Linked DNA regions of Saccharomyces cerevisiae S288C. Changing the gene in region 4 together with the main gene of any one other region gives a genetic interaction. Each region holds a gene or a part of one and is shown on either strand. Other genes may lie near its edges.

Evidence for each region.
Region 1: mutations in RAD51 (region 4) and SOD1 impair growth when combined (synthetic growth defect), as found in Saccharomyces cerevisiae (4 studies listed by BioGRID, with this or other methods).
Region 2: mutations in RAD51 (region 4) and SLX5 together harm fitness more than expected from each alone (negative genetic interaction), as found in Saccharomyces cerevisiae (4 studies listed by BioGRID, with this or other methods).
Region 3: mutations in RAD51 (region 4) and ESA1 impair growth when combined (synthetic growth defect), as found in Saccharomyces cerevisiae (3 studies listed by BioGRID).

What each region holds. Positions count from the first base shown.
Region 1 is NC_001142.9:620,903-625,151, forward strand, and holds SOD1 (superoxide dismutase SOD1), read right to left. Parts: upstream 2,113-4,249; coding exon 1,648-2,112; downstream 1-1,647. Other genes in the region: CTP synthase URA8, read left to right, coding at 1-1,588; ADO1 (adenosine kinase), read left to right, coding at 2,679-3,701; ECM27 (Ecm27p), read left to right, coding at 3,936-4,249. UniProt on the Saccharomyces cerevisiae protein: Destroys radicals which are normally produced within the cells and which are toxic to biological systems.
Region 2 is NC_001136.10:426,422-432,388, reverse strand, and holds SLX5 (SUMO-targeted ubiquitin ligase complex subunit SLX5), read right to left. Parts: upstream 3,323-5,967; coding exon 1,463-3,322; downstream 1-1,462. Other genes in the region: glutathione-disulfide reductase GRX6, read right to left, coding at 1-59; YDL012C (uncharacterized protein), read left to right, coding at 872-916, 1,003-1,281; rRNA methyltransferase NOP1, read right to left, coding at 4,042-5,025; trans-2-enoyl-CoA reductase (NADPH) TSC13, read left to right, coding at 5,455-5,967. UniProt on the Saccharomyces cerevisiae protein: Component of the SUMO-targeted ubiquitin ligase (STUbL) complex SLX5/SLX8 that mediates ubiquitination and subsequent desumoylation of sumoylated proteins and proteins containing SUMO-like domains for their degradation.
Region 3 is NC_001147.6:789,892-795,449, reverse strand, and holds ESA1 (NuA4 histone acetyltransferase complex catalytic subunit ESA1), read right to left. Parts: upstream 2,920-5,558; coding exon 1,582-2,919; downstream 1-1,581. Other genes in the region: DGA1 (diacylglycerol O-acyltransferase), read left to right, coding at 118-1,374; pseudouridine synthase PUS7, read left to right, coding at 3,209-5,239. UniProt on the Saccharomyces cerevisiae protein: Catalytic component of the NuA4 histone acetyltransferase (HAT), a multiprotein complex involved in epigenetic transcriptional activation of selected genes principally by acetylation of nucleosomal histones H4, H3, H2B, H2A and H2A variant H2A.Z.
Region 4 is NC_001137.3:347,463-352,661, reverse strand, and holds RAD51 (recombinase RAD51), read right to left. Parts: upstream 2,683-5,199; coding exon 1,480-2,682; downstream 1-1,479. Other genes in the region: SHC1 (Shc1p), read right to left, coding at 1-964; PUP3 (proteasome core particle subunit beta 3), read left to right, coding at 3,316-3,933; AIM11 (Aim11p), read left to right, coding at 4,262-4,385, 4,461-4,750; TORC2 complex subunit TSC11, read left to right, coding at 5,050-5,199. UniProt on the Saccharomyces cerevisiae protein: Required both for recombination and for the repair of DNA damage caused by X-rays. Its function may be modulated by interaction with other repair proteins. RAD52 interacts directly with RAD51, via its C-terminus.

The DNA.
Region 1 (4,249 bases), on a different chromosome or scaffold from region 4:
GTCTCCCTTGGAACATGGTGAGTGTTTTGTACTTGATGATGGTGGGGAAACGGACTTGGATCTCGGTAATTACGAGCGGTACCTCGGTATTACCTTAAGCAGGGACCACAACATCACCACCGGTAAGATATACTCCCACGTAATTTCCAGAGAAAGGAGAGGTGATTATTTAGGTAAGACAGTTCAAATTGTTCCTCATTTGACTAACGCAATTCAGGATTGGATTCAACGTGTTTCAAAAATTCCAGTGGATGACACAGGATTAGAACCAGACGTCTGTATCATCGAGTTAGGTGGTACGGTCGGTGACATTGAGAGTGCGCCCTTCGTGGAAGCATTACGACAATTTCAGTTCGAAGTTGGAAGAGAGAATTTCGCCCTGATCCATGTTTCACTTGTGCCCGTCATTCATGGTGAACAGAAGACGAAACCCACCCAAGCAGCAATCAAAGATTTAAGGTCATTAGGGCTTATTCCCGATATGATTGCCTGCAGATGCAGCGAAGAACTTAACAGGAGCACTATTGACAAGATTGCCATGTTTTGCCATGTGGGGCCGGAGCAAGTGGTCAACGTTCATGATGTTAACTCCACGTACCACGTTCCCTTATTGCTGCTAAAGCAACATATGATCGACTACCTCCATTCAAGGTTGAAATTAGGTGAAGTGCCTCTAACCTTGGAAGACAAGGAAAGAGGGTCTCAATTATTGACTAACTGGGAAAACATGACCAAAAACCTAGATGATTCTGATGATGTTGTCAAGATTGCTCTTGTGGGAAAATACACTAATTTGAAGGATTCCTACCTATCTGTGACCAAATCCTTAGAACACGCAAGCATGAAGTGCCGTCGTCAGCTAGAAATCCTCTGGGTAGAGGCAAGTAACCTAGAGCCCGAAACTCAAGAGGTGGACAAGAACAAGTTCCACGATTCATGGAATAAGCTCAGTTCCGCCGACGGAATTTTGGTTCCTGGTGGATTTGGCACGAGAGGTATTGAAGGTATGATTCTTGCTGCCAAATGGGCCCGTGAATCCGGTGTTCCCTTTCTTGGTGTCTGTCTTGGATTACAAGTTGCCGCTATCGAGTTCGCCCGCAATGTGATAGGCCGCCCAAACAGCAGTTCTACAGAATTTTTGGACGAGACACTACTAGCTCCTGAAGACCAAGTAGTCATATACATGCCCGAGATCGACAAGGAACACATGGGTGGCACGATGAGATTGGGTTTGAGGCCTACCATTTTCCAACCGAACTCAGAATGGAGCAACATAAGGAAGCTTTATGGTGAAGTTAATGAGGTGCATGAGAGACATCGTCATCGCTATGAGATAAACCCGAAAATAGTGAATGATATGGAGTCTCGTGGCTTTATTTTTGTTGGTAAGGACGAGACGGGCCAGCGTTGCGAAATATTCGAATTGAAAGGCCATCCATACTACGTGGGCACTCAATACCATCCAGAGTATACATCGAAGGTGCTGGAACCATCAAGACCGTTTTGGGGGCTTGTGGCCGCAGCCTCCGGCACACTTGGTGAAGTGATCAAGGACATAAATCTAAGCGAGGGAAATGAAAATGAATGAATTGATGCGCTTACTACTTACTTACATACGGTTTTTATTCAAGTATATTATCATTAACATTAGTTGGTTAGACCAATGACACCACAGGCTGGTCTTGGACCGGCATTACCAGTCTTCAAAGATTCTTCAGTGTCACCCTTACCTAAGTCATCTTGGCCGGCGTGGATAACGACGCTTCTGCCTACAACGGAGGTAGGACCGATAAGCTTGATCAAAGAGTCCTTGAAGGAGCCCTTGGCCACACCATTTTCGTCCGTCTTTACGTTACCCATGTCACCGACATGTCTGACTTCGTCAGTTGGAGCACCATGTGTCTTCTTGAAAGGATTGAAGTGAGGACCAGCAGAGACACAACCATTGGTGGCATCTCCAAACTCATGAATGTGGAACCCACGTTCTGCGTTAGGACTGTTACCAGCGATCTCGTAAGAGACAGTGGTTGGCTCGGATTCGGAAGCCTGTTCGAACTTGACAACACCAGAGACACCGGCATCACCCTTTAACACTGCGACTGCTTGAACCATTATAAATTAATTATGTTTTATTTGTTTGCGCGATTGCTTTCTTGCCTGTTTTTCCGCAACATAGTTACAGCTAAACATTTGCCCAAAACCATCTTCTTATATATATATCTGCGATGGCGAGCCCAGCGGAAGGGATGTCCGCTTACTAATTCCGACACACCGGTTTAACCCCCCGGCGTGCTGGGGTGGGTGCCCCTAAGGGAGCGGGTTCTGTACTTCCAGTAAGCGGCATTTGCGCTGTCATCGCCTTATCGAACCCGCTACTGAGATCATGTCCTGAGTGGGTGAGTCGCACGCCCAATCGGCTGCACTTCAGAGATACTTACGTCCAATTTCGCATCATGCCAATATTACCTGTGGAAGTTGAAACTTTTTTTGCAGATGCCGATAATTTTCACATGGATGAGTCGCAGTGTCGTCGTACGTGATGAGGGCAGGCTTGAAAATTATTCTTCGAGCCCAATTCTCTTTACTTATAGGCATGCCATGTCTAATTAGGTAGTCATCTCAGTTTATCTTGTGCAGGGTAGAACCAAAGATAACAGCAAAAGAAAGAGCAAGCAATTATGACCGCACCATTGGTAGTATTGGGTAACCCACTTTTAGATTTCCAAGCCGACGTCACGGCTGAATACCTGGCCAAGTATTCTCTAAAGGAAAACGACGCAATTTTGGTCGATGCCAAATCAGGCGATGCTAAGATGGCTATTTTTGACGAGCTCTTACAGATGCCAGAAACAAAGCTTGTTGCAGGTGGTGCTGCTCAAAACACTGCTAGAGGGGCAGCATACGTTTTGGGCGCCGGCCAGGTGGTGTACTTCGGTTCCGTCGGTAAGGACAAGTTCAGCGAGAGATTGCTTAACGAAAACGAAAAAGCTGGTGTCAAGTCTATGTACCAAGTTCAAAATGATATTGGTACCGGTAAGTGTGCCGCATTAATCACTGGCCATAACCGGTCCTTGGTCACTGACTTGGGTGCTGCCAATTTCTTTACTCCAGACCACTTGGACAAGCATTGGGACTTGGTCGAAGCAGCTAAGCTCTTCTACATCGGTGGTTTCCACTTGACCGTGTCTCCAGACGCTATCGTTAAGTTGGGCCAACATGCTAAAGAGAACAGCAAACCTTTCGTGTTGAACTTTAGTGCTCCTTTCATTCCTCATGTCTTCAAAGACGCATTGGCCAGAGTTTTGCCTTATGCTACCGTCATCATCGCTAACGAATCGGAGGCCGAAGCCTTTTGCGACGCCTTCCAATTAGACTGTGCCAACACTGATTTGGAAGCTATTGCTCAAAGAATTGTCAAGGACTCTCCAGTTGAAAAGACTGTCATCTTCACCCACGGTGTCGAACCAACAGTGGTCGTGTCCTCCAAGGGTACCAGCACATATCCAGTCAAACCTTTGGACTCTTCTAAGATCGTCGACACCAACGGTGCTGGTGACGCCTTCGCTGGTGGCTTTATGGCTGGGTTGACTAAAGGTGAAGATTTGGAAACCTCTATTGACATGGGTCAATGGCTAGCTGCTTTGTCTATTCAAGAAGTTGGTCCCTCTTACCCTTCCGAAAAAATATCTTACTCTAAATAGATTCTTCTTACAATATAATAGAAATAAAATATACTCTACGTGTTCCCTCTAGCTTTTCATTCGTAGACATGTTTACCGCTTGTTCTTAAACCAAATAAGCCACCGTTACCACAATAAGGAAAAGAGGCGCTATAAAGTACAGCTTCAAGAAAAAAGGACAAGCAGCGCTAAGAACAAAATACTCGTTCATCCTCTCCACATACGGCCGTACACAAGCAACAATAACACAATAATATGGACTGGGCAATCAATGTCGCCCATCCACGATTACTTTACAAGGATCCTAAACTTTCAGTAACGTTTATTGTGCCGAGCTTATTTCATATCATTATTGCTTTCGTGTTATTAGGAATATGTGCATCCGATTTTCTTTGCCCCAACGTGGCCCATATATCAGATCCCAACAGCCTTCGATCGAATGGTTCTTTAGTCTCAAAAACGGCGTCCCATGCATCTCATACTGGGGCATTAATGGCAGTTCTACTATCTTGGTGTAACTCTTCGCCTGACCTATTTTCCAACTTAATGAGCTGGGCAACCTCTACGAG
Region 2 (5,967 bases), on a different chromosome or scaffold from region 4:
AACAATAATAGCGTTGTAATGCTTAAAATTCTAGCATTTCTCTTATTGGAAGGTATCATAATAAAATTGTTTCTATATTAAACCGCTAGGTTGCTAAGGTTTCGTCTTTTCTATCTTACGATAATTTGCTTAAAAGTTCATTTAGAGAATAGATAGTGATCTTTCCCAGTATAATGTTTTCCCGATTTCGCGAACGCTCCGCCTCAGGCGCCCCGGGACGCGTCATGCGCGTTCCAGAAAGTTAACTAACTGCTAGTGCATTCAATTTCTCAAGGCGTAGTATTTGGGATCTATAAAGCCTTCGACATTAAGCACTATGCTTAAAAGCGAACAGCCTGCGCCACTACTTAAGAGCGAATCTTGTGTGGAGGGATGACTAGGTCCAAAGAGGGAGAAAAGGATCTTGCGGAAAAGTCAACAACACTAATCGGTAGCTGAGTCTGTCAGTGCATCCTTACTGGCTTACTATTTTCATTCATGCTGCAAGTAGATTATCCTCTAGTTAAATTAAACGCGGATGAACTACGCCATTAAATCCATCATAAGAAACTAATTACTACTTTTAGGAAATTAGCCAACTAAAAACTGCTGAAACGCCACATTTCACATAAAACCCCACGGAGCAGTAATGGGAGATCTTAAGCTCAGCCCAGTACATATGTCCATCAGCCTTGAATAGCCACGGTGAGTTCTCGAAGCTTCCTTCCACCTAGTCCAGAATATTTCTTGGTAAATGGCTCGAAGTTTTCGTATTAAACGATGCTATCAGCGGCATCGTGAAATATTGAAATATAAAAAGTATTTACGCAACCGAAAAGGATATTAAGACAAACCCATACAATAGCCCATAAACCAAGCAAATACACATCTCATGTCAGCTCAAGATTATTACGGAAACTCTGCCTCCAAACAAAGCGTACGTTAATTTTACAAGTTTTGCCTTTAGAAGATCACATCGTACTAACGAGCCCTTGTATTTTCATTACATCACTTTCGATTCAGTATTCTCGTCCTAGCGCTCCACCACCAGGATATGAAACGGCGTCTAGAGGTTACGCTCCATCGCAAAGCCAACAGAACTATTATCCACCTCAACAGCAGCAGCAGCAGTATCAGCAACAACCTCAATACTATCAGCAACAGCAGCCCCAATATTACCAACAACACCCACAGCAGCCCATTTATGTCCAACAACAACCGGCCAGTTCTGGAAATGAAGACTGTCTAGCGGGCTGTCTAGCGGGTTTATGTTTATGCTGTACTTTGGATATGCTGTTTTAGAGTATCTCCATATCTTGTGGGAGCAAACCCTTTCACACAAATCCACTATATAAAACAAAGCACAATTGCACCTCTGATCTTTTAATCTTAATTAAATAAGCGTGATTAAAGTGTTCATGCAAGTAGATAATATATAATGATGATAAGTTCGAAAATGCCCTTATAAAAATTAAACCGCGTGCTAGAAGTAAACCTCCTTCAACCTGCCTCTTGAACGAATAAGCTTCTTACAAGAATCTGCGGGACATAATTTGGGGCCATAATTATCCGGATGAGCCGAACCCTTTAGTTGAGCTAGTTTCTTTTTGGGCATCTTAGATTTTTTTTTTGCATTGTCAATCCTGGCGAAACACCTACCACAAAATGCATGACCACACGATGCAATAAACGTTCGTTTTGATAAATCTCTATCAAGCATTGATGGTCTGGCTAGGGTTTGGTAGGGGCAGTGGAATTTGTATTTTGACACTAACCCTTCAAATGAAACACCACGATCCTTTTGACTGATTCCAGTAAAATCATCCGGTATTCCGACCCCCAATTCTGCGCCACACAAGCAACAAACAGGAATATCCTCGAGTGTTTTTGCTAAATCGTCATCTGTCACAATGATGGTTTCTTCTTTACCATTTTTCGTAATGTCTAATTTCATTTTTGGCGTAGTATCAAATGACGCGCTATAACCTTCGGGTAGGCTGGCTGCCCTAGCTTCGAATTCTTCCTGTTGGGCTCTGGTTTTGTTCATTAGATTCTTCATGACCACATCCCGCTCTCGTTCTTCTCTCTCTTGGATCATATCAATGATATTTTGAGTGTGTCGTTCCTCGTCAGCATCGCTCAATGCTGGGCCACTCCACAAACGACTTAAGAACCCATCCTCTCCATTGAAATTAAGATAGTTTGTGATTGATTCACGTAATGTGCCACGATGGAAAACTCTTCCTGCCGTTCTTTCTTGTCTTTCCAATGCTTCTCGGTGAAGTCTCAAGGCCTCTTCCTGAGTATTTCTGACCCTATCAATGGCCCAATTCTGCAGCAGTTGATTTCTGAACTCAGTGAAGAGTGCCATTAGTTCTTCTTCACATTCTTGCAAAGTAATTGGAGCAACATTTTGTAAAATAGACCTGAATTCATGCAGTGACTCTGCACGATGAAAAGCACTACGAATATCAGGCGTATATGATTGTATTCGTTCCCTGATTGATTGTAACCTAATAGATGTACTTATATTTTCGTCACTGGACACCCTTTGCTGTTGTACCCTACGTTGTCTTTCTGCAATCCGTCTGCTCATTCGCATACGGCTCTCCCTACGAGCCCTTTGAATAGCTTCTGGTAAATTATGGGTATCATCTGTCCAATCTTCATCGTTTTCATCAGACCGGTCCACAAATAAATTACGGGCTCTTGTAGCACTCCTTCTCAGTAACTGCCTGCGTGATGCGCCTAGATCTTCTTGGAATTCAAATGACCTTCTTATCGGTATGTCTGTTGTCGTCGCAGTTACCTCAAGCCTCTCCCCGCCTGGCAGGTTCAGTGTCACTCTGGGTCGTGTTGTTCTCTCTTCAACTATTGTCAGGCCATCATCACTTTCATTGTTATTACCATTATCATTCAAGTACCCGTTTGTGTTATCTACTTGTATTGTTCTTGGAGTTTCTAACGTTTCAGAACCTGGCTCCTGATCAAGATCGACGTAATGTGCAGAAGGATCAATAGGTCCATCGTCTCCAAAAAACCGTCCAACTTCTCGTATTATAGTGATATCGTCGTTATTAGCTTGAAAATCAGGGCGCTCAGAGCTTGCTGTTATGTGAGTCCGTTGAGAATTCCTGCTCCTTGAATCTGACCTCACAAACCTATTTAAAGCATCACGTCGTCTCCCTACCCGTCTGTCTGGGTACAACCTCACAGGAAGGTTAGCCTCGCGAATAGAAGCGTCTTCTTCCTTATCACTATCTATTAATATAACTGTCTCATTTGGATTATTGTCTGATGGGCTATTATTGCTCTTTGTTCGACCGTTAGTATCGCTATGCATTCTATTATTTCGACTATTAGAGGAGCTCCGCGTTCCAAATAATAATTTTTGGACTGAAATCTTTTCAAAAGTTCACTCCTAGACTGAAGCTCCTAGTGCAAATTTCGACTTGGTTATTACCAATCAACGCAACACACGCTCTTCTTAATGATTAAGTCTTCGTTTTGGTCGCACACTGCCTCTCATCCATGTTAAATAGTAAATATTGCGACCTTGCGTATACAGTGATGTTTCTTATGGGCAAAGCCAAAAAAAAAAAAATACGTAAGAGTGACAGATGAAGAAGTGACACTTTGAACAAAAGACTCTATCAAAATTTTTTCAGATTCAATCCAAGGATAAAGAGAAATCTATGATGTAGTGTTACAAGAATTAATGATATATGGTCATCAAACAGTGTCGAGACTGGAGAACAGCTTATCGATATTGTTCCTACCTTTAAAAAACTCGAAATATGATTATGATTTCTACTTGCTTGCTCTTAACAATTAATGACCAAAAAGTCACCACATATACTCTTTTTTTTTTATATGGCGAATACGTACAATACTTTTGTTCTCTAAAAGAATTTAGTAATATCTATTTTACAAAGTCGAGGGTTACAAAAACTTCAAATAGGAAGTGAAACTGAATGGGGGAAATATATATAAACGAAACAATTATTCTGCTAATAATTGAGCAAGCTACCAGAAACTTTTGACTAATTTCCTTTATTCAACTTATTTCTTCAAACCGCTTCTCATGTATCTACCAACGACGATACAATGGTCTCTTTCATATGGCTCTAAAGTCAATTGTTCTAATGGCTTAATACGTTCCTCACGTAACTTTTGAACTTCTCTAGCAAAAACGGTTTCCGCGTCTACAGTAGAATCAATACAGTTAGCCTTAATGGAGATAACAACACCACCTTGGTCCTTCAAGAACATATGAGAGTTCAATGCAATAATACGAGCTTGATCAGGCTGGGCAACATCTGCGAAGACACAGTCAACCATACCAATCAACATTCTGTATTTTTGTGGGTGTCTAGCATCTTCAATGATTGGGATGATATTAGGTCTCTTCTTTGCCATAGAAATCAATTCTCTGCCTGGTCTGTGAGAAAATTCTACGGCGTAGACAACACCTTCTGGACCAACAACATCTGAAACGTGAGAAACAGAAGTACCGGAAGCAGCACCTAAATATAAAACTTTCTTGCCTGGGGCAATAAATAATTCATCTAGACCACCCATAATACCGGCAGCCAACTTAGATCTGAATGGGTTCCATACACGGTATTCGACCTTGGTTGGTGGGACACCATCTTCCTTAGATGGTTCTTCAACGGAGATTCTCTTTTCACCATAAACTGATTCACCTGGGGCCATGTTCTTGGTAACTAGCAAATCTTCTTTACCTCTAGCAATGTAAACACCGGCATGTCTATGTGGTTCAATAACGACCTTGGCACCACCACGGGCACCACCAGCAGCGCCACCTCTACCACCTCTGGAGCCACCACGGGCACCACCACGAGAACCGCCTCTACCACCGAAGCCGCCTCTGGAACCACCACGGGCACCACCACGAGAACCGCCTCTACCACCGAAGCCACCTCTGGAACCACCGCGAGCACCACCACGGGAACCGCCTCTACCACCGAAGCCACCTCTGGAACCTCCACGGGAACCACCTCTGCTACCTGGTCTGAATGACATTACTGTTTTAGTTGATTTGAGTTAATTTGATCGGAGTTATTGAAAGCAATGGGCAACTTAGATTTATCCGATGAATGATATCTAATTGTTTCTCGAAGAATAACTTATATAACAGTAGTATACCGATGTAAGGAAAACTTCTTGGCTATGTAAAACTTTTTGAAAGTTAGAGGAAGAAAGTATTATACATTCAAGAGAGATGAGCTTTCCAATTTGAAAAATTTTTCAAGAAAAAGAAAAAATTTGAAAAAAAAAAAAGAAAAATATAATAAACATATCATTTTGTACGCAAAAAGTTAAGGAATTATGAAAAGGGACTAAGAGCGTGAATTTTACAGAACGGAGGACAGTAAGATTATATTCTATTTAGCTATCTAGAAACCAATTGAGCTATTTGAGAGAGATACATATTTTGAATTTAATTTGAAAATGCCTATCACCATAAAAAGCCGCTCTAAAGGGTTAAGGGACACTGAAATTGACTTATCCAAAAAGCCTACTTTAGATGATGTTTTGAAAAAAATCTCTGCTAATAACCACAATATCAGCAAGTACAGGATAAGATTAACCTACAAAAAGGAATCTAAACAAGTTCCGGTTATTTCAGAATCGTTTTTTCAAGAAGAGGCTGATGACTCAATGGAATTCTTCATCAAAGATTTGGGTCCCCAAATTTCATGGAGATTAGTCTTCTTTTGTGAGTATTTGGGTCCAGTCTTGGTTCACTCCCTTTTTTATTATCTATCTACCATTCCCACAGTTGTTGATAGATGGCACAGTGCTAGCTCCGACTATAATCCATTTTTAAACAGGGTTGCATATTTTTTAATTTTAGGACATTATGGAAAGAGATTATTTGAAACCTTATTTGTTCACCAATTCTCTTTAGCTACTATGCCAATTTTCAACCTGTTCAAAAATTGTTTCCATTACTGGGTTCTA
Region 3 (5,558 bases), on a different chromosome or scaffold from region 4:
TATCCCAGATCACGTTTGTTCCATTAAGGAGGTTTACTATCATCTCATTTCCATTTACACATACACTTACATATACATAAGGAAACGCAGAGGCATACAGTTTGAACAGTCACATAAATGTCAGGAACATTCAATGATATAAGAAGAAGGAAGAAGGAAGAAGGAAGCCCTACAGCCGGTATTACCGAAAGGCATGAGAATAAGTCTTTGTCAAGCATCGATAAAAGAGAACAGACTCTCAAACCACAACTAGAGTCATGCTGTCCATTGGCGACCCCTTTTGAAAGAAGGTTACAAACTCTGGCTGTAGCATGGCACACTTCTTCATTTGTACTCTTCTCCATATTTACGTTATTTGCAATCTCGACACCAGCACTGTGGGTTCTTGCTATTCCATATATGATTTATTTTTTTTTCGATAGGTCTCCTGCAACTGGCGAAGTGGTAAATCGATACTCTCTTCGATTTCGTTCATTGCCCATTTGGAAGTGGTATTGTGATTATTTCCCTATAAGTTTGATTAAAACTGTCAATTTAAAACCAACTTTTACGCTTTCAAAAAATAAGAGAGTTAACGAAAAAAATTACAAGATTAGATTGTGGCCAACTAAGTATTCCATTAATCTCAAAAGCAACTCTACTATTGACTATCGCAACCAGGAATGTACAGGGCCAACGTACTTATTTGGTTACCATCCACACGGCATAGGAGCACTTGGTGCGTTTGGAGCGTTTGCAACAGAAGGTTGTAACTATTCCAAGATTTTCCCAGGTATTCCTATTTCTCTGATGACACTGGTCACACAATTTCATATCCCATTGTATAGAGACTACTTATTGGCGTTAGGTATTTCTTCAGTATCTCGGAAAAACGCTTTAAGGACTCTAAGCAAAAATCAGTCGATCTGCATTGTTGTTGGTGGCGCTAGGGAATCTTTATTAAGTTCAACAAATGGTACACAACTGATTTTAAACAAAAGAAAGGGTTTTATTAAACTGGCCATTCAAACGGGGAATATTAACCTAGTGCCTGTGTTTGCATTTGGAGAGGTGGACTGTTATAATGTTCTGAGCACAAAAAAAGATTCAGTCCTGGGTAAAATGCAACTATGGTTCAAAGAAAACTTTGGTTTTACCATTCCCATTTTCTACGCAAGAGGATTATTCAATTACGATTTCGGTTTGTTGCCATTTAGAGCGCCTATCAATGTTGTTGTTGGAAGGCCTATATACGTTGAAAAGAAAATAACAAATCCGCCAGATGATGTTGTTAATCATTTCCATGATTTGTATATTGCGGAGTTGAAAAGACTATATTACGAAAATAGAGAAAAATATGGGGTACCGGATGCAGAATTGAAGATAGTTGGGTAATAATGAATTCATTGGAAAACACAAAATATGTTAGAATAAATAAGGATTTTTTAGTGTTTGGGCTGTATATCTTAAGTAAGAGTATTAACTTACAGGAATACTGGAGTTCTCGTTGAATATTAGTGATTGTTTTACGTAAATTTCATTTATTTAAAGCTTTTACATTAGAAGTTGTTTGAATGTAAGTTTAGGAAAGCACTACATAGCTTACCAGGCAAAGCGTAACTGAGAGGCAGTAAATACCGGTGGTTTCCATATGAGTCTATTAGGGTCTATTGTCCTTCTCTTTTTGGCTTTAAGTCGATTGTACCTATCTAAAATATCTTCATTCAGGAAAATAATATGCTGACCCTTGTAATATCGCAGGATATTCAGTGTCTTTGCTGTGTGTAATATATCTGTAGTGGTCATCGAAGTCATGGAGCTTATTTCGTCTATAGTAATTTCCTTCTGGTGTTCCACTAATAGCGTTATGAGAGTGTCCGACCAATAGGCTCTATAGGATAAGAGACCCAAATCAGACAAAGGTTTCTCGGGAGAACCAACTTTGTTTTCCTTTTTCGACAATTCATACGAAAATTCAATCAATAACTTACCATATCCCATCCTTTGGTATTGTGGTAGTGTTAAGATACATGCAACATTGTAACCATCCGCGGATTCTTTTTCCTTGGAAAAATATCCCACCAGATGGTGACCCAACTCATCTCGTCTCGTCATGCAATAAAACAAAAACGGATCAACGTCATAGTATAATGTTTTGTGATCTAGGAAAAGTTTGGAAAGTAAACACAAGTTTCGACACCAAGTCCTTTGCTTTCTACCATCGATTTCAAAGAATGAAACATAATCGTCTCTGTAGATTTCATTTCCTGGCGGATGTCTTAATGTACATTTCTTCCTGTAGCGTTCGTATTGTTTCTTAGATCCAAAATACTGCAACGTGAAATCGTCGATATATATAAAATCTTCATCAGTTAATTCAATAGGATATGGAGAAAAGTACCATGGTTCTATTTCATATTTCCCCATAATGATTCGATTGAGATTTCTAACTCGAGCCACCTCATGTGGATTTTGTGTCATAGAGCCGGAGGTTCTAAGCTTTTTTATCTCATCCTCGTGTGATATGTTCTCATCTTTTATTCCCTGTACATTTAGATTATCTAAGTCCATAACATCCGTATTTTCTCTTGAGAAACCATCTACACCATCTTGCAGAGAGTCTTGTGGCGTTTCACTAGTATTTGTTGCCTTCTTCTTTTTTTGTTTCTTATTATCTTCATCAGTAGCCTTTAGTTTCGGATATAGTACTTCTTTATCCAGGTTTATTCTGTCAGTGGTAATCCACTCATCTAAACGCTTGTTGTAATTAACATAGTGAACATAGAATTTTGGTGGTGCTTTTCTTGTGTTTATGGATAAAATTTCAGCTAATCGTTCTTCATCATTTTTTTGGACCCAGCATTGACATTTGATAATAATATCATCTACTGAGTTTATCTTTTTGGCAATACCAGGTTCTTCTTTTCCGTCATGGGACATCGATGATTTCTTGCAGTATTTCCGAGAATGGTAGCACAGGAAGCGTCTAAAGAATGGTAAAGCTCTTTTCTATTCTCCTTTGATTACTATAATAATATACACCTTTTAGCAATATTCGTTTTGCATTTGCTCCGCCGGAAGCCGTTTTCATCTTTTCAACGGGCGGGTAGTAATTTGGAAAATTTTCCATCATTATAATAATGATGAAATAGTCAATAGGTACAGCTCATCGATTAATTATAATCACGTTGTTCCTTCCCAAGGAAAAAAGCAATATCTGTTGCATGCCATGTCTGACTCCTCAGAAGCCACTGTAAAGAGACCCCTTGATGCTCACGTAGGACCTTCCGAAAATGCTGCAAAGAAGTTGAAAATTGAGCAACGTACTCAGGCAGATGGTATTCACGAAGCAGATGTCGGTATTACTTTGTTCTTATCTCCAGAATTGCCAGGATTTAGAGGCCAAATTAAGCAGCGTTATACTGACTTTTTGGTCAACGAAATAGATCAAGAAGGTAAGGTCATTCACTTAACTGATAAAGGATTTAAAATGCCAAAGAAACCACAACGCTCTAAAGAAGAGGTCAATGCAGAAAAGGAGTCTGAAGCAGCTAGAAGACAAGAATTCAACGTCGACCCCGAATTAAGAAATCAATTGGTGGAGATATTTGGTGAGGAAGATGTATTGAAAATAGAATCCGTTTATCGCACGGCTAATAAAATGGAAACGGCAAAAAATTTCGAAGATAAATCTGTTAGAACTAAAATTCACCAACTGTTACGTGAGGCATTTAAAAATGAATTAGAATCTGTGACTACTGATACTAACACTTTTAAGATTGCAAGATCAAATAGAAATTCAAGAACCAATAAACAAGAGAAAATTAACCAAACCAGGGACGCTAACGGTGTAGAAAATTGGGGATATGGTCCCAGTAAAGATTTTATTCACTTCACTCTACATAAAGAAAATAAGGATACTATGGAAGCTGTCAATGTTATAACAAAGTTGTTAAGAGTTCCAAGCCGTGTAATTAGATATGCAGGTACTAAGGATCGTAGAGCAGTAACGTGCCAAAGGGTTTCGATTTCAAAGATTGGTTTGGATAGACTAAATGCTTTAAATAGGACTTTAAAAGGAATGATTATCGGAAATTACAATTTTTCGGATGCAAGTTTGAATCTGGGAGACTTGAAGGGAAATGAGTTCGTTGTTGTTATTAGAGATGTTACCACCGGCAATAGTGAGGTATCACTGGAAGAAATTGTGTCTAACGGCTGTAAGTCTTTATCAGAAAATGGGTTTATCAATTATTTTGGTATGCAGAGATTCGGTACATTCAGTATTTCTACGCACACAATTGGTAGAGAATTGCTCCTTTCAAACTGGAAGAAGGCTGCTGAGTTGATTTTATCTGACCAGGATAACGTGCTTCCTAAATCTAAGGAAGCTAGGAAGATTTGGGCAGAAACTAAGGACGCGGCTTTAGCATTGAAGCAGATGCCAAGACAGTGTCTCGCAGAAAATGCGTTACTATATTCTTTATCTAATCAAAGAAAAGAAGAAGATGGAACTTATTCTGAGAACGCTTATTATACTGCTATTATGAAAATTCCCAGAAATTTGAGAACTATGTATGTACATGCCTACCAAAGTTACGTCTGGAATTCTATTGCTAGTAAGCGGATAGAACTACATGGTTTGAAGTTAGTTGTAGGTGACCTTGTCATTGATACTAGTGAAAAGTCACCACTAATTTCTGGGATTGACGATGAAGACTTTGATGAAGATGTCCGTGAAGCTCAGTTCATTCGTGCAAAAGCAGTAACTCAAGAGGATATCGACTCAGTTAAGTATACCATGGAAGATGTCGTGTTACCATCGCCGGGTTTTGATGTGCTTTATCCTTCCAACGAAGAATTGAAGCAACTGTATGTGGATATATTGAAAGCAGATAATATGGACCCATTTAATATGAGAAGAAAAGTTCGCGATTTTTCATTGGCTGGCTCTTATAGAACTGTTATTCAAAAGCCAAAGAGTTTAGAGTATAGAATAATTCACTATGATGATCCTTCTCAACAATTGGTGAACACTGATTTGGACATCCTGAATAACACCAGAGCAAAAGAAAGCGGCCAGAAGTATATGAAAGCCAAGTTGGACAGATATATGCCAGATAAAGGCGGTGAGAAGACTGCGGTGGTGTTAAAATTTCAATTAGGAACCTCCGCATATGCCACCATGGCATTACGTGAACTCATGAAGCTTGAGACTTCTCGCCGTGGCGACATGTGTGATGTTAAGGAGAATATCTAAGGTTATACGAGGTGCAATATTCATGTATATTAGTTTACTTTTTTTGTCGGAAGCTCTTTCCCTCATACACTATTGTTGTGTCCGTGTCGTGTCACTTCAGGCGTCGGTAAATATGTATCTGCGCATCGCACACAAAGATAAAGCCTTTTTAAATATAAACAACACCTTCTAGATATATCTTATCAAAGGATACAACCACGTTTCTCAACAAGAAGGACCTAATAGAGGAAAATTATTATACTGTAGCTATCAATATTTTATAAACAAAAAGACAGATATATTCTCGCGTATTGAAGTCGGGAATCCAACGAAGGTAAAA
Region 4 (5,199 bases):
ACTGTGCATCAGGGTATCCAACGGCACTTAGTTTCTTCAAAATAACTTTGGCATCGTTCACTAAATATTCCTTTAAAGAATCTACAGAGAAGCTATTGCTTTCATCCTCCAGTTCCTTAACAAGTTCGTGTAGTTTTTCGGTATCCAACCCTACCCTTAAAATGTATTGTGCATACTGAAAATTAGAATATATGTCTTGAGTTTTCTTAACTACCTCCCCGTACATTTCAATGGTTTTCCATCTTGGTAGCAAGCTCTTCTTGTTTTTCTTGCCAAGGTGAAATTTGGCCACATTATGTGATTCTGATGCAGTCACCTCATTTGTGAGGCAAAGACTATTGTAAACGTTAAAATCTAGTGACACATGTCTAGGAAGTGAAATGGAACTTGTACTTCTATTGATATCGTTTGAAGAGCCTGATCCGCTTGGATTATTCAAAAAGTCCAAATCATTCGATTGACTAAAAGACAGAGCGACAGATTCATTCTGAGAGGGAGGGGGCTCAGCGAAGTCGTGAAACTCGGAATTACCGTCTGCCGATGTGCCATTTAAAATTTCGGATGAAATTTCAGAAGCAATTTCAATTTCACAAGAACCTTGTGATTTTTCCTTCAGTGAGGAAGAAGCATCGTCCTCAACGTCGTTCTCAAACTCGTCCTGCTCAGGAAGAATCTTTCTTGTGGGAAAAGAGTTATATTTTTCAATCAATGAGGGCGAAGCGTCGATATCCATCGCATCCTCACCAATAGAGGATGAAATTTTTTCTTTATCATTTGTAAACACATCACCTGAGCGTGAAATATGAGATGAAACGGATGACCAGTATTGACGAACTTCTGGTTTATTCAATATCAGAGAGGAATCAGAGGAGAATCCGCTTGATTCCAACTGTTTATCAACCTCATTATAAGCTCCAATTTCAGGGTATGCACCAGGAGTATTTGAGCAAATAGTCATGGACATTATGGGTACTGCCTGATTTTAACAAAGGGATACTCGTAATGTCAACCGTACTTCTCTTGCTGTTAGCAAAAGTATTGTTCTATTCTTTTTTCCAAGTACAATTTTTTATTCAATTTAAAAACGTCGAAACGAAGACAAGGAAATTCATTGCCATAAAGAAGTGTATGGTATTTTACGTTGGTTTTATAAGAGGATGGCGACATATCAGAAAATTTTTCTCTTCACTCCCCTAAAAGGATAAAGCCGCGCGGACCCTGCAGGAGGAAGTAGTCATCGGGAAGAAGAGTAGAAAAATACATATATTTCATGGGTGACAGACAATACGAAAGTTATTTAAAAGAACTGAAAAAAAAGGTTAAGACCGCAGTAGGGTTGCGAGGTATATGACAAAATATATGCAAAAATCTAAGACAGTGGATGGAAATGAAGATAAAAATGTACGGAACGCAACCTAAGAAAAAGAGGAGAATTGAAAGTAAACCTGTGTAAATAAATAGAGACAAGAGACCAAATACCTACTCGTCTTCTTCTCTGGGGTCACCAACACCATCTTCATAGATCGCGAACACACATTCAGCCTCTGGTAAGCAAGGTGAGTCAACAACTTTGCATAATCTTTGACATCCCTTACCCTTTTTGAAACCTAATCGCGTGGTGGAAGAATGTGCCATAATATTACCACCGATAGGCTTCTTTGGATCTGGATTAAAAGCCATACCACCATCAACTTGGGCGACCACTTGGTTAGTAACGACGACTGCAACACCAAATTGGTCGGCCAGCCTTTGCAAAGCACGCATAAATTTGGCTAAATGCATTTGCCTTGCGCTTAGTTCACCACGACCAGAAAAATCCGTACGGTATAGAGCCATAACAGAATCGACCACAATCAAGGAAAACCGAGACTCGCTCATCATTTGGGCAGCAGCATCCAGAAGTCTTAACTGATGATCGGCGTTATAGGCTCTTGCATACGCAACGTTGTTCAAAGCATCATCCGGGTCTAATCCGAACCGCTGAGCTATGGATACCAATCTTACCGGCCTGAAAGTACCTTCGGTATCGATATACAAACACTTACCTTCACCGCCACCAATATCCAATGGAATTTGGCATGTCACGGCCAAAGTGTGACATAGCTGGGACTTACCTGTCCTGAATTCACCGAAAAGCTCAGTAATAGAACCAGTTTCCACACCACCACCCAAAAGAGTGTCCAAATTCTTAGAACCCGTTGTCAAACAAATCAGCTCCGATCTTCTCATATGAAAATCAGCAGCCGTGACAAATCCCATAGGCACTAGCCTTGCCGCTTCGTTTAGCAACTTATCTGCCTTAGCTTCCGATATACCTTTGATTTCCAATAAATCCTTTCTGGGAGCATATGCTACCGCTTCAGCAGTGTGAAGCCCACTCTCCCTTAGTTTTTTCACATCCGCCATAGTAATCCCGTTCACTTGCAGTTTTTCTATTGGCACAAACGAACCTAAGGCAGCTTCATCGTATGCTTCATCCTCCATTTCACCTTGCGCTTCCGCTTGCTCCTGCAATCCGCCACCATCGCCGGAGCCGTTGGTGGCCTCAATATCTTCGCTGCTACCGTTGCCGTTTCCATCAACGACTGACTGTGAAAGGTCTGCTGGTACAGTGGACATCAACGAACCGTTCCCGTACTGAAGCTGTGACTCTGATATATGTTGTTCTTGAACTTGAGACATATGACGATAACAAATTAGTAGGCCTTTAACAAATAACTACGTCTGCTCTTTGTCGCTACACTCAACTACTAGTATATGGAAACTACGGAAGATAGAAGAAGTAACTGAGAAAATTTTTTCTCCAGTCCCCACTATTCCCCTTTATGGTCCCACCACGCGTACTGTAAACAAACCAGGACAGAAATAGCGGAAATGACGCGTAGCATAGGGTAACGAAGTGTGGCCTAGTCGTGGGATATGGTGAGACGGTGATAAAACACTGATACAACCGGTTGGAATGCTCAGGGAATGCTCAAGAAGGCCACCTGTTGCAGGATAGCTAAACTAGATTGGTTGAAGAACGGTAGTGGTGCATTTCCAACATTTACCGTCCATTTTAATTTACTCTGTGACAATGATAAGCCAGATCGCTATTAACGTGGTGTAGTCATGTGACCGGATGGCACTGCCGGTGGCAAAAAAGTGCAAATGCAGGGGCGATGAAAAGAGAGGAAGAAAGAGTTTATGGCATAGTAGAAAGGCCAATTAAATCGGGAAGCTGCTAAGTAAGTTTGAACCGTAGTTTCGAAGTAGAGTGCGTTTCTTGCGAATTGTGGTGAAAATATTGAACAGTGAATAAAGCATAAAAAAAAAATGTCGGATCCAAGTTCTATTAACGGTGGTATCGTCGTTGCGATGACAGGTAAAGACTGTGTGGCCATTGCCTGTGATTTGCGTCTCGGAAGCCAGTCACTAGGTGTGTCGAACAAGTTTGAAAAAATCTTCCACTATGGGCATGTGTTCTTAGGGATTACCGGTCTGGCTACCGACGTGACTACTCTGAACGAGATGTTCCGCTACAAGACGAACCTATATAAGTTGAAGGAAGAAAGGGCCATTGAGCCTGAAACGTTTACCCAATTAGTGTCAAGTTCACTTTATGAAAGAAGATTCGGTCCATACTTTGTGGGGCCGGTGGTAGCAGGTATTAATTCCAAGTCCGGGAAGCCCTTTATTGCGGGATTCGACCTAATCGGCTGTATCGACGAGGCCAAGGATTTTATCGTTAGCGGTACTGCATCCGACCAACTGTTCGGTATGTGTGAGTCCCTGTACGAACCTAATCTAGAGCCAGAAGATCTTTTCGAAACTATAAGTCAGGCCCTACTGAATGCTGCTGACCGTGACGCTCTATCAGGCTGGGGAGCTGTAGTATACATCATCAAGAAGGATGAAGTGGTGAAGAGATACTTGAAGATGAGACAAGATTGATCGGTTCATGGCAATCTCATGGTCCCAAAAACAACCCCAACACAAAATATCAGCGGAACGTCAAGAATTTTCCACATCCAACTCATCTTTAATTTTTAAGTAAACAGAATAGATCGAATGAATATATAAATACTAAAATGCATAAAGTCAGTCGAAGATCTGAGTAGCTATCCGCTGGCTGTCCTTTTCTAAGGAGCAGCGTTATTCACCAGCCGCGAGTCTCTTGAAAAATTGGCGCTTTTAATACTTATTAGGATGGGGAACTTGATTCTTTGACGGGTTTGTCAGCAATTAGTACGACTATCCTACTTCATCAAGAAACGAAACTATGATCGAAGAGAAGAAGGAACTTAAGAAACGCAGGGTTCTTCAAATGGCCAGATTTTATGGTGCGGCCGCCTTCACCCTGATTACCATGAGGCTTATCTCCAGGGCCATAAAAGTACGAAAATGTATGTATTTTGTCCTAGTTCAGTGGCCAAAACTAATAATAGGATATAGTTACTAACACCGTCTACTGAAAGCAGACGTCCCCAGCATATTTCAACAAAATTACAAGCTTCCACCTTTTTCCCAAAGGAATGAAGCCATGTCAGCGTTAACGTATGCATCCGCCGCTTCAATAGGTACGTTCAGCACATTGATATTCGGCTTTTGTTGGGCACTTGACATTTCAACGGCAAGAGAGTTTGTATTTAAGACTAGAGAGTTCATGAGCCTTCCACAAGCCTTAGAAACCGACACGAGCATGGACGAAGAAACTTCCAAACTAACTAAGCAATTGCAAGACCTCCTGTCGAGCGAAAACAACAAGTAGCACTACGCATTGGCTTAATCTCTTTAAACTGTAAATAATGGTATAACTACGAGCCGTTGCCGGCTGGTCACATATCGTATATCCGTATACATTCTTTCTTCTTTTAATTATACATATTGTAATCTTTTTCTTTTTTGCATTCTCTTAAAAATTGATTGATCCATCGGCGAAATGGAAGATGGAATATCAAGCAGTTCTATTGTTCTCGGATATAACTAAGGTACCTTCAATTTGTAGGTGTACACGCTAGGGAGGTTGCTTCGTGCTGTACCGCTTCTATTAAGTTTTTGAAATTCACAATGAGCATACCTCACAGTGCAAAACAGAGTAGCCCTCTCTCAAGTCGGCGCCGGTCAGTAACTAATACTACTCCACTGTTAACCCCTAGACATAGCCGTGATAACTCGAGCACCCAAATATCAAGCGCCAAGAACATCACCTCCAGCAGC